2 linked regions of the Drosophila melanogaster genome follow. The protein of the gene in region 2 interacts with the protein of the main gene of each other region in a pairwise test. Each region holds a gene or a part of one and is shown on either strand. Other genes may lie near its edges.

Region 1 (5,441 bases), on a different chromosome or scaffold from region 2:
TAGGTAACTCCTTTCTTAGCTATCCCGCCCTGCAATCGTATTTGTAATTGCTTTAAATTCTAATTAGTTCTTTAAGGTATACCTCTTGAGATGAGATCCTCCCGCTTTTGTCCACGTCTATTTCGTACGCTTAGTTTCGAGTCACAAAATATCGATATGCACCTGGGATTTTTGGGGGCTTCAACATGGTTGTTGTTCTCTTCAGATCAGCGGGATGCGACTCGCCTCATTTTAATCTTAATCATAAGCTCCATGTTTCTAAGGTCGTCCCTTTTTATACGAAAATCGTTTAGTATAACTTTGCATTTTGTTATTGTATCGATCAAAGATGCCAGCCAACTCCCCGCCCTCCCCACCAAAAGTCCTTTACCCAATTCCACAGTTGTCCTCCAAAAAAGGGATGCCAAGAGATCAGATCAGACCGATTCACGCATACATTCAGAACAGTGTAACTGCAGTCCCACGTAGTCAGTAATCGAACGTAATTATTAAGAACACGAGATTGGCGGAAACACAAGAACATCAGCAAAAATACATTAAAGATAAAAATTAATCTGTTTTCGTTTTGGGCCTGGGTGTTTTTTGTATTTTAGCATTTTAAAATTTAATACTAAAGTACTTAAATTAAACTTTATTCTTTGTAAATATAGATACTCCTGAACTTAATTTTATTTTCATTTGTTGCTAAAACTCCATGACACTTTCCAGATGGCGTTGCTTAAAGAAGCGGCACTCCTCGCGAATTATTTCGCCGGATTTTGTTGTGCCCTTAAAGAACTTTGTGAGCTTGGTGCCGGCGTACTTGGGCTTCTCGGAATCCGGCTCGTCGAACTCCATGTCATAGGCCTTGTCCGCCAGTGCGTTTTCCGCGGTGGACCAACTGAAGCGCACAAGTCGTGGAAATCCAAACACTAGATCGATGTACTCGGTCAGAAATCTTCTTGTGACCGGATCTCCCGGATATCCACTGCCGAACTCGTTGTCCTTAATGACCAAGCCCTCGGGGAAGCTCCACACCTTGAGGGCATGATCACGGGTAACTTTGGCGCATATACTAGCAGCAGAGACTATTGGATAGGTGGAGTCAGCTTTTTTCGCCACGGTGATTTTAAAGCTGGGGAAACGTTTGAGCAACTTCTCCTGGTACTTCTCCGGCGGACCCACCGTATCCACATAAACCTCGGCTATATTGACGCCCGCATCGATCGCCTGTTGGATAAGGCCCATGGCCGAGTCCATGGAAACTTCGTTCAGGGAGCACTTCGACCGCCGGTACATGCTGGTGCTGATCGTGTTCGGCGATATGATCTCCACGGCCCAGCCAACGCAACTGGTCGCATATTCCTTGGTGTTGATATCGTTAAATATGATATCACGTTTCCCCTCGGTTAGTTGTTTGGAATCGGCGCATCCCAGGTCCTCTAAAGCCTTGTTACTTTCCAGTGGACAGTAGGAGATCCCATATACCATAGGTCCCAGGACGGGACCACGCCCTGCTTCGTCCACGCCCAGCATGCACGGCTTATCCTTGCAAATATCCGGAACATCGCTGAGGTAAACCGTGTTGCGGCTATTCTCCTTGCCGGCTATAAATGGACCCAGGGCCTTCAAGGAGCTTATTTTTCCGCTGTCCTTAAAATCTACATCATCGGGCTCTTCGTCGTTCTCATCAATATTTTCTATACATTTTTTTTCTTTTTTTACAACTACGTCTTCTTGGTCCGACATTTTCGCGCGCTTTTTTTTTGTTTACGTTTAAACGACGCTATGGGCACACTAATTGTATACATAAAGTTGCAGTGTGACTCATTCGTCATTATACCAAAATATCTTTTTTTTAATATTCTCAATAACCGTACGGAAAGGTCTTTTATTAAAATAGAGAGATAAACATATAACCAGAGAATTATGCTAAGGCTTCTGTCCAAGATGCTTAAAAATAAACTAGTTTAAATAAGAGATAATCTCGGCAGTTTGAACGAGTTTTCCTCTACCTAGTATTTCCTGACAATAATATGCAAATTTTCATAGACGGTTGGTATTTTTCTTCGTCATCGGCGCGGTCACACTGCATATCAACTGCTCTTTCCGGTTTAGGATTTTGACCAGCGTGCTTGTTCTCGTCCCGAGCTAAGGCCATTTGTTATAAACAATTAATTTTTGGCAACTTGCACAATCAGTGATTAGCCACAGCACTTCGACATGTCCACCAAAGCCGAGCTCGCCTGCGTCTACGCCTCCCTCATCCTCGTCGATGACGATGTCGCCGTCACCGTAAGTTTTTCGATATTGCAATCGGGGACGAAGCAAATCCTCCAAAGCCGCGGCCATCGGCCGGAAGTATTGGACAATTTGCGGGTCCTATGGTTTCTTTCGCACTGCTGCAACTTGTGCTGATCTTATTTTTTGGATTCACCAGGGTGAGAAGATCAACACCATCCTGAAGGCCGCCAACGTCGAGGTGGAGCCCTACTGGCCCGGTCTCTTCGCCAAGGCCCTGGAGGGCATCAACGTCAAGGACCTGATCACCAACATCGGATCCGGAGTTGGTGCCGCTCCCGCCGGTGGTGCTGCCCCTGCTGCCGCCGCCGCTGCTCCAGCCGCCGAGTCCAAGAAGGAGGAGAAGAAGAAGGAGGAGGAGTCCGACCAGTCTGACGACGACATGGGCTTCGGTCTGTTCGACTAAATCCTCTAGAGAACTTCTCGACAACCGGACATCCGTTGTGTTTGTGCTGTAATCCTCGAGAGGTGGACGTGTACCCGTTTCCCGACCTGCGTACACGTTTTTAATGTACAAATGTGAGGAAATATAGAAGACGTTTGCTAAAAAATTATCGAGACTCATTCCTTTCACAACGGTGCAGAATTATTATGGTTTACTATGTTATTGGTCATTCCACTGCCTTTTTGTGAGTAGATTCTATTTTGGGTTTTTAAGCACATGAAAGAGGTTGCAGTAGAATGGCCAATAATTTGGTCAGCCGGGTTGAAGGCTACGATTAAAATGTTCAAGGTTTTTTTTACAAAAACTGTCACAGCTAATATTTATTGGATATAACGAACGCAGACTAGAATAACGTCTCCTCGAGGACCTTAGCTAGGGCACGAAGATTGGGTCCGTCGATTTTCTTGAGACCCAAGCCCACCACGAACTCCGTCGGGCACTTGTGGAGTCCGGTTCTGTTGACCAGAAACTGTATGGCGCTGCGAGTCTCGTCGGTGTCCAAGCCCAAGCAGCAGTTCATCGTGATTGGCACCGATACGTGGAACTCCGGATTGTCCACGGGTCCGTGCAAATAGGGAACCACTCTTTCGTCCTTTTTGACATCGAAGTGCACGTTGTAGATGCCGGGAATCTTGCCGAGCTGCGTTATGACTAAGAACCACTTCTTGGCAAAGCAGTGGAACACTATCTCCGTGGGAACGCCGTTCACGTCCGCTGAGAACTGCCTGTCGAATCCGATTTGTCGAGGTTTGTTTGCTGTGTGGTTCATTTTTTGAGAGAATTTAAAAGCGTTTAACAATGTTGATATTGTTTACGATGAGACAGCATGAAAAAACGATGAAAAATACATCGATGTTTTATCGATAGTCATTATGCATTGATGTGCTAATATGAAGTGTGGCCGAATGGTTCCGAGTTTCGTGACTCCCGAAGCACGCAGTTCAAACGTTTGCACTGATTTCCTGAGAGCGCCATCATGCAGAAAATAATTGAACTACTGACACAAGATTTCGATTACGCGATTGATATTAAATGTTCAACCATTTGTAAATATTTTATATATAAAATAAGCCAGAAATAACAACATGTACGTGCTTACTGAACTAACTTTTACAATTTTAATTTAATTAATTAATTAATAAACTTTGGTAACCAAGGCTACCTTTGTTAGATCCATAAATAAAATCCAAGTAAAAGCAAAAATGTCCACCTGCATTTGCTTGGGCCCCAAAAGAGCGGGCAAAACGCACCTTTTGAAAGCTTTACAGGATCCGGAATCCATCGATGAGACCACGTTTTCCATGCCCACCATTGGCACTGGGATTTACCGAATCCATTTCCCAACAAAATCGCCAAATGGGGATAAAAATAAGCCTCCTCCCTCAGAAGCTCCAGCTAACATTCCTCATGGCGGTAAAAATCTGCCCAAGTCCATACAGATCCTGGAAATTGGAGGGAGTATGGCCCCCTTGTGGAGGCAGTATTTCGAGGATGTCAAGAAGCTGATCTACGTCGTGGACACCTCTAATCTCTGTCAGATTTCAGCCGCCGGCGTTCTTTTCTATTCAATCCTCACCGAGCCGCGTCTGCAGTAAGTAAGGTGGAAATGAACTGAAAGCTCATGCACTAGTTAAATTCGTCGCAGGCATAATACTAAGATCCTGTTGGTACTGGCCAAAATGGATTACTCCTACCGCCAGATGCGAAACGAGGCTCTGCTCATGCTGCAGATGCAGAAGTTGCAAAAACAGATCCGCCAGCAGGTGACCATCGTGGAGGCCAGCGCCGTCACCAAAGTGGGCTTAGACCCCATCTACGATTGGCTGCAGAGACCCTAAATAATAAAATATCATAGAAATTAGTGTGTCACTCACATTAATGATACACCAGTGAAAATATTAAACTCTATTCCGATGCATTTTTATGTGGCTTTAGTTAATAAAATTAAACGTGAACACTGCCTAATCTATCAGATAGAAGTTAATATCTAGATTAAGACCTAAACTTCCCAAAAAGCAGAAAGCAGAGGAGATGCAGATGCATCCCGGAAGACAAACCAAGAAACAAGTTGGTTATATTAAGCTCAAATTAACATTAAAAATTTAGGTAGATTTACAGAGAGGTATAGTCAGGGTGTCCCAACAGGGTGACTCCCCAGGGACCGGAACAGGCGCACTGCAAAGTAATTAATGTTTTGGCCGACCAGGTATCCATGGTAATCGCCTCGTACCCCGAACCTAACCAATTCAAACTATACCGGAAGACCCTTTCCATATGGCGAGTATACACCTATACCTGCTAGAGGCCAGTCAGTCGATACCAGCAACCGCAGCAGCGGAGGAATCTACAAATTAGGTCCCGTGCAAAAGAGGTAGGCGGGAAGTACAAATTATGGGCATAGAAAAATTAGATGGCATGGAGACGAGCCAAGAACTAAGACCAGATTCGAACCCAGAGGAGTCCAGAGGAGCGGAGGAGGGAGATGAACCGCAGGAAGCAGCAGCCGCATTCCTGATGCCCCTGGATTTTCGGGCTTGGAGGGGCAGAGGAATGACACGCATCCGGTTTTAAAATTCCAGTGATCGAAGCGCAGCAGAAGAGCCCGAAAAAAGGAACTCAGCCGAGGAATTCAAACACTTGAATCGGACACAGATACACAATATACTGAACGAAAAGAAGAAGTTTTTTGAGAATCGAAATATTTATTTATTATATG
Region 2 (8,086 bases):
CGTTACTATCCAAAGAATAGTGACATTTTGGGTCAAGGCTTAGGCGGCAACTCCGACAGCTACAACGGCAGTTCCTCTTCTGGTAGATACCAGCAGCAGGATCAGCAAGGCGGATCGCATCGTGGTAGTCGCAGCAACTATCACTCAAACTCCGATGGCAGCTACAATCGATCAATAAACTCAAACTCCGTGGGAGGAGGAGGGTCTGGGGCAGTCGGCTCTGGAAGCGGTGGCAGCAATTATCGCTCCGCCCGCAACTACGAGAACGGCAATGGGAGCAACGGCACACAGCCACGTTACGGCAGCGGCAACGGGAACGGCAACAGCAGCAATTCCAACTCTTCATCCGGTTACAACGGATCTGCAGCAAGCTCAACCAACAGCAAGTCGTCGTATGGGGCTTCGCGCGGTGGCAACGATGGAGGCGTGAGTAGCGGATACAGCAGCAACTACCGCGACAACTACGAGGATTCACCATCGCACCAGCGCTACAACAACACCAACAGCCTAGAGCGAAACGGAGGAGGCGGATCAGGGGCAGGAGCGAGCGGAGGACCCCGCAGCTACGGCAGGTCTGACGCAGATCGTTACGGCGGAACCCCGTCCAGTCGCACACCCAATCTTCGCAACGGCAGTGCGTCTGCTCAGATCTCTGGCTCCACTTCCAATTCTTCGAACATTTCTCTGAACTCCGGATCAGCGTCGGCCGCAGGAGGAGGCACTCCTCATTCTCAACAGCAGCAGGAACGATCACAGGCTGGCAAGGCAAGCACACCGCCACCGATCACCGGACGCTGGATACCACCATCGTTGCGTCCACAGCATGGACTCACCCAAAGCGAAAAGAACGACGCCGTCTTCCGGCGTGTGAGGGGTATTTTGAACAAGCTAACGCCCGAGAAGTTCCAGGAACTGAGCGATGAACTGTTGAAGCTGGATCTTAACTCTATTGCTATTTTGAAAGGCGTGATTTTGCTGATATTCGACAAGGCCTTAGACGAGCCGAAGTACTCGTCTATGTATGCGCAGCTGTGCAAGCGACTTTCCGAGGAAGCCCCGTCATTCGACAAGGAACCAAGCAATTCGTCCACCTTCTTACGCCTGCTGATCGCGGTCTGCCGCGACAAGTTCAACAACCGACTCAAGCGCGACGAGAACGACAACAGACCTCCGCCTGAAAATGAGGCCGACGAGGAGGAGCGCCGCCATTTGGCCAAACAGCGCATGCTCGGCAACGTCAAATTCATCGGAGAGCTCAACAAGCTGGACATGCTGTCGAAGAACGTGCTGCATCAGTGCATCATGGAGCTATTTGACAAGAAGAAGAAGCGTACGGCCGGTACGCAGGAAATGTGCGAGGACATGGAATGCCTGGCTCAACTGCTCAAGACTTGCGGCAAGAATCTGGATTCAGAACAGGGCAAAGAGCTGATGAACCAGTACTTCGAGAAGCTTGAACGTCGGTCAAAATCATCTGAATATCCACCGCGGATACGTTTTATGCTAAAGGACGTAATTGAATTGCGCCAGAACAATTGGGTGCCGCGCAAATTGGGCACCACCGAAGGCCCCGTCCCCATAAAGCAAATACGCTCGGATGACGACTCAATCATACGCACTCCGTTCCCCAATCGCAATCGTGATATGCGCAACAATGATCGTGACTCGGACAGCTGGATGAATCGTTTCCATCTGAATATCCAGCCTGGCGGCTATAATGACATGTTTAGCGGACTGAGTGTTACGGGAGCTTCTCCGATTGTCTCGCCGTAAGTATTGTGAACGTCATGGGAGTAATGAACACACTTTTGTCTGGTCGGGTGTATAGTTTGAATAGTAGTCACATTATATTAAATTCTTTGAAAGTACAAAACCTAATTTTAAACAATTTCAGGTTCGCTACGAGCAATCGTGACCGAGACCGCGACAATCGCCAGTACAACAATCGAGGCGATCGCAACAGGGATCGCGATCAGGGCGGTAGCGGCGGAGCTAACTATGGCAATCGCTACAACAAGCACAACCAGAATGGAGGAGGCAGTGGCGGAGGATCCTCCAACAACCGGGACCGGGATGATTCGCGTAGGAATAACGATCGTGACAGGGATCGCAATGACGGACAGTATGGGGGCAATCAGCTGCTGGGTAGTAAGGAATTGGCACCGAGGTTCAAACGCAACTTGATCACCACGAACCAGGATGCGGTGGAGAACTTGCAAATGCGCCCGGCAGCCAACTCCTTGCTCTTCCGAGCGGCCTCCCAGAACCAAAAGTTTCCGGCTACGTTGCCCATGTCAACACCGCCCAATAGCAGCGGCAGCAACAACCAGGGCAGCTCGCAGGGCCAGCTCTCGAACTCCCACTACCCTATGCTCGGCACGCCCACATCCCATCTGATCAATCCAACGCGTCCCTCGTCAACACCATCTGCTGAGTATGCTGATAACCGAACTCTTTTGGGAGTTCAACAGGAGAGGGGATTGAAGGCCACCTCTTCTTCGCCGAACTTTTCATCAGGAGCGGAGAAGTTGGATTTAGACGGTCAGGCGGGCAGAAAGGGATCGCACGACGGCAAAGATCAGGGCAAGAATGGCTCCGTGGAGAGACCAAGCACTCCGGCCGGCGGTATTGGCTCGGCCAAGCAACAAAAGAAAGATAAGGGTCCCAACAAGGAGGAGCTGTCTAAGAAGGCCAGTCAGTACTTCAAGGATAGGTTCTACTACGATGAGGAGGAGGATGCAGAGGTGACGGAAATTGAGATCAAGGATATTGATGAGACAAAGACGGAGGAGGCCGACGCTGCTCCAGTTGAAGTCTCGGAGGTAAAGGAAGATGCTGCAATACCTGTGACCACTCCAGATCGCTTCACCAAGCTTGTAGATGGTTTCCTCGAGCTTAAGCTGCCAGAGAAGGCGCTGAAGGATGTGTGCATCAATCTGCTGATGGAGGTCTTGGACCGTGTAAACGATGTCTTCTTGGAGCGTGCTGTGCGCCTTCTGCAGACATTGCGCAAGCAATCCAATATCAAGCCGAACATCGTGGTCGAGATTTTCAAGCAGGTGGTCAACAAGATGAACGAGCGAGAGGCACTCAATCCCCGAATCGTTAGTCTTGTAGCCAGCTTGCTGGCAAAGACAATTTGCGAGCCAGCATTGCTGAAGTTAAGCGATATCGCCAACTTCACGGACAATGGCCAACACTATCCGCTGTTCCTGCTCGTGCTGCAGCAACTGGTCAAGGTCATCGGCAAGGATGCGCTGGAAGAGAAATTCCGGGCGAGCAAAGTTGATCTTATGAACAGCCTGCCGGAGGCGGATCGGAACAAGGAGCGCTTGGCCGGGATACTCGAGGATCGCAAGCTTTCTTTCCTTTATCCGCTATTGAAGGTACAGGCCGAGATGCTAAAACAGCTGCAAAGCGACCCGAACCCCAACAACTTCTACAAGTGGATCAAGGCCAACGTTGACAACAAATACTACAAGGACCCGGGCTTTATCCAAGCCCTAATGACCGTGGTGGTCAAGTATGTGACCAAGGAGACGACGCTGGCGGACAACCTCGACCCCAAGGAGCACCCTGAGAAATCGGTGACCCAGAAGGAGCAACAGCTGCTGGAGAACTACAGCCAGATGCTGCAGACCTTCCTGGGACAGAACGAGCTTCAGTTGATGGCTCTCTATGCTCTGCAAACGTTCTGCTACAATGAAAATTTCCCCAAGGGTAAGTGCTCAACATTTTAAATCTAATCTGTTTTATCGGCAACTTATATTTGCTTTTTTCTTCGTTAGGCATGCTGTGCCGTTGGTTCAAGTATCTTTACGAATCTGAAATTATAGAGGAGGAGGCATTCGTCCTGTGGAAGGAGGAGATTTCCGACAAATATCCAGGCAAAGGATCCGCTTTGTTCCAAGTGAACGCCTGGTTGACTTGGCTGCAGGAGGCCGAATCTGAGGACGATGAGGATTAGAAAGCAACGCAGTCCCGCATAATAACAGCGCTATATGTTTATCACTTCCAATATTTATTCACAAATCGATAATGATTACATGATGAAAAACAACAAAACTAACAAAACACGAAAAATAAGAAACAAAATACCATCAGGGTGGAAGTTTGAAATCGCGGTTGCAAAACTTAGTCAAATTATAGTAAAAAAGAAAAACAAAACAAAAAAAATTAATCAAAATTATTTGATATCCAACAAATTCAAAGAACATTAACAATCAATTATCAATAAATAAAGCGCAATAGACGTCAAATATAACCGATATTTATCCATACATCATAATTCTCATTGACATTTCAAGCATAACGAATAATTAGTGAATTTCATCTTTTTTTTTTAACATAACAACCGGAACTGATCTTTAAATCGAATAACGTTGATTTCAATTGCCTTTTTTTGGTACTCTCGACGATTTCCCTTTTGTGTATTTAAATAAGTAGGTCAAATCAAAGCGACAACATTAACATTATAGAAAAGGAAAAACCAATCGACGCGCGCCGAAGAGAGCAAAACAAAATCTGAATGTAATTGTGAACAAAATATCGTATATATGTATTTAACTCAACCAACGTAAACATTAAAAAACTCGCCCACATTAAATAGAGCCTTAATAAATGCAACCAACACTGCGAACGGCGAAATCAAACTGACTTTCATTGGCTTTTGAGGGAGTAATGCAAATTTAAAATCCGCGCCTAAGCTCTGTAATAGCTGCCTATCGATACAATTTTCGATTATTTTGAAAAGCTATCTATGGTCGTTTCGTTATCTGGCAACACCGCTCCGGTCAAACTTGCTATTTCATTGTTTTCCTTGTGAATATTGCTTGTTTATGTATAAAATTCACGACTAATGGATAGCGTTCCTGCGAATGTTGTGCCTGCGAAGGAGTCTGGTGGTTTCACCTCACATTGCGTCCACTTGGCGGCGGGTCCCTCGCAATTCACCGTGCGCGCCCTGAAAATGCAAGGCAGCACCATGCTGATCATAAACCCCAAGGGATTGGAGGTTTTCGAGGAGCTAGCGGTGGCCATGCCCTCTCGCAATCCCGCCAGCAGCCAGTCCCTATCCTCCACAATCCTGGGCGGACACGGGCAGACCGACTCATCTGTTCTGGCCGCCAAATTGAGTAAACGCTACTGCCGCCAGTTCTACGTGAGCCTTAATCTCAAACTGGATCGATTAATGGGCCCTCTGTTCGAGAAGACGCTAGTCACCTACATGCAAGACCATCTGGAGCACTTCGCTTGAGTGGGTACAACAACTTAGTGTGGCATAAATTTAATCCTCAATCGCTGACTTATTTCTGGTTCACGTGCACACAGGGCCCGCCTGCGCTACCGATGACACGGCGCCGCGTGGGGGTCAACGTCTATTTCGGGGACCGGCGGCTACCCCACGGACGCAGCTTCACGTACTCTACGCACTCCATCAGCTAACTATCTGGGATCTCCGATTCCCGATCTCCGCTCAGACGTCATGCGGCGGCCGAGTGAGCACGAACTTTAAACGTGTATCGGTGATACGAATTTTGTACAATAAATTTATTGCCCTAAGTAAGTTTACAGACGCATGTGGGCTTTATCAATTGTGTCGCGATAGCAGTGCTCAATGTAAGAAGAAGTCACCCGCTGTGTGAGTGATCGCGTGCCACCCGCATGCTATTCATGCTGCTGCTTCACCACCCAATGATTTGAAGGTCAGTTTGGCTGCAGTGATGATCGCTTGATAGGTGATTTCCCCGCCATCGTATTAAATTCGAATATACATATGTGTGTGTTCGCATTGCGCCGGTTTGTTCATCAGGCCTCCGTTTCGGTTTCCCTTTCGAATGAATGTTTAGGTTTAGGGAGAAGTTAATATGTAATAATCATTCGGAAGTTTTCCAAATGGGTACCATTTCAGTTTGATCACTGAATACCTCTGACAAATAATATCATTAGATTTGTTTTTATGTTGTTAATTTGAACTATTCGAAAAGTTAGTAGGATACCACTATCAAATGTATGTATTAACTAGCGGGTTTACAATTCACAATGTGATTAACAAGCTTCTAAATTTGTGTGAATAATACTGGTTGAAAATATTATATCTCTTGTTACAGTTCGTTTAGCTTTTGAAAAAATGATATTGGTGATGACTGACTATAGGAACTCTCAACTTTACTAATTACCCACGAGCAAAAAGTTGATGTCACTTCCTGCATGAGTTCCCAATTATAATGATTGCGATATCCAAAATATCCAAGTCACTATTCACTATTTCAGAATGGTTCTATGTCACAGAAAGTCTGCAACTTGAACAGTTTGATACTCAGGTATAGATAGTTGAAGGACCAACGCGACACCTTCATAATGCCCTTTATCTATCGGCATTCTCAGACTGAAAGTTGGCTATACTTCCTGCCCGCCAATCGTAAATATAAATCGGTTGATAAGACGTCTGAATTACCCCCGCCAAGAATGCCAGTCATATTTTTAATGGAACAGCCCCCAGCAGCGTTGTGCTATGGTTGTGTTGGATCACACCGCCTGGAGGTGCCATTGAAACTTTTCCGCTAAACAACCCAATGGGAGGGAGGGAGCAGCAACAAAATGAAAAACACTAATGTACGAAAAAAACAAATTTCGCCTCTCATAATAATGCCCAGTCTAGACGAGATATTGTCAGGCGTATCAGTGGTGGTAACAGCGACAAGAGCATATCGCTCCAAAAAAAAAATAGCAGCACCCATTGAACGGGTATAAAAATAGAGCTTCAGCCGGAAGGTCTGCGCTCCGGGGTCTGTGGGCTCCCACGAATGTCTGGAATGTTTTTTTCCCCCGTTTTTTTTTTTCTGCTTTTGGTTTCCCCAGTTGCCTAATAACTTTTCCTTTTTGGCCATATCAAAAGCTGTCTGGCGATAAGCGCCCTATAAATAATAGATCCGAGTCGGCCGAATTCGAGCAGCCATCTGTAATTATCGGGTCGGAATGTGAGTGCGAGTAGTTGTGGCTTCCATGCCTCGGTTGCATGTCCCTGGCTTGGATGACTGGCTGGCCCGGCTGGCGGTACATGGACTTTGGAAGTCTATCGTTGGCGGCAACAAAGTAATTAGCCTTCTGCGGGACTACCATAGTCATATCAGCGCCCCCAGTGGGTTCCCACTGCAGCGATAAGCCGGCTGGACTACGCGTGGAACCTTCTCCGCGGCGGCTGCTGCTGCTATTTCTGCTGCTGCTGCTGCTGCTGCAAATGTGCATCTTGGCTGATAAACCCCTAGGTTCAGGCGCACGCCCACCGGTCAAGCTGGAGCGCGGAACGGAACGAAACGGTTCGGATCGAATAGAATCGAATCGGAGATCCCAATCCGAATCTGCTGCGAGGGCTTATCGGACCACCAGACCACCTTTGCCAGCCATCCAGACCCCTCCGGTTATCGGTCGAGTGTTGTTAATTTGATAGAAATATTGAACATCATTGCGCCCGACGGACTGCACCCTGCCATTCCGGTTCGATCCGGATCGCCGCCGAGTGTCTATACGCCTAGTTTGGTGCCGATTTGTTATTATTTACGCCGAGATTCGGACCACGGAAAATTAATAAGCGCACACGCTCAGCTCCCCAACGGGAGCTCGCGCCATACAAAGTTCACACAGCCAGTCAGAAAATCCGGATTTTTTTTACTCATTTTCTGCGCGGCTTTAATTGCCGGCAAGCGGCAAAAAACATAAAAATTAGGTTGCGCCTGGGGTCCTTCATCGCCTGTCTTCGATTTGGGGAGGCGATACGGACCCAAGGCCGTGCTTTTGGAAGATTCCGCTGAACTGACCTCGCCATGCGCGACTGTACCTCGGCTCGATTGTCCGGCGGAGCAGTTGTGGTCCGATTATGCCCCCTATCTATTTATAAATCATGATTCGCCATCTGGTGGGGGAACTGGACTGGAGTGGAATGGGTACGGGTACGGGGATGGGAATGGGAATGGGAATGGGTACTGCGATGTGCAATTGGCAATGAGTCCGCTTCCACGACCACAACCACGTTCGCCTCCACCTGTCGCACTGCTGATAGAGGGCAAGGGCTTATCAAAGTCCCTGA

Evidence for each region.
Region 1: the proteins of CG13319 (region 2) and CG11885 interact in a two-hybrid assay, tested with the Drosophila melanogaster proteins (2 studies listed by BioGRID).

What each region holds. Positions count from the first base shown.
Region 1 is NT_033779.5:417,873-423,313, forward strand, and holds CG11885 (uncharacterized protein), read right to left. Parts: upstream 3,579-5,441; 5' UTR 3,495-3,578; coding exon 3,069-3,494; 3' UTR 3,023-3,068; downstream 1-3,022. Other genes in the region: CG13690 (uncharacterized protein), read right to left, coding at 685-1,728; RpLP1 (ribosomal protein LP1), read left to right, coding at 2,203-2,274, 2,420-2,686; CG13692 (uncharacterized protein), read left to right, coding at 3,928-4,316, 4,371-4,563.
Region 2 is NT_033778.4:12,919,091-12,927,176, forward strand, and holds CG13319 (uncharacterized protein), read left to right. Parts: upstream 1-4,813; 5' UTR 4,814-4,858; coding exon 4,859-5,257; 3' UTR 5,258-5,261; intron 5,262-5,331; 3' UTR 5,332-5,574; downstream 5,575-8,086. Other genes in the region: NAT1, read left to right, coding at 1,018-1,769, 1,895-3,720, 3,789-3,967.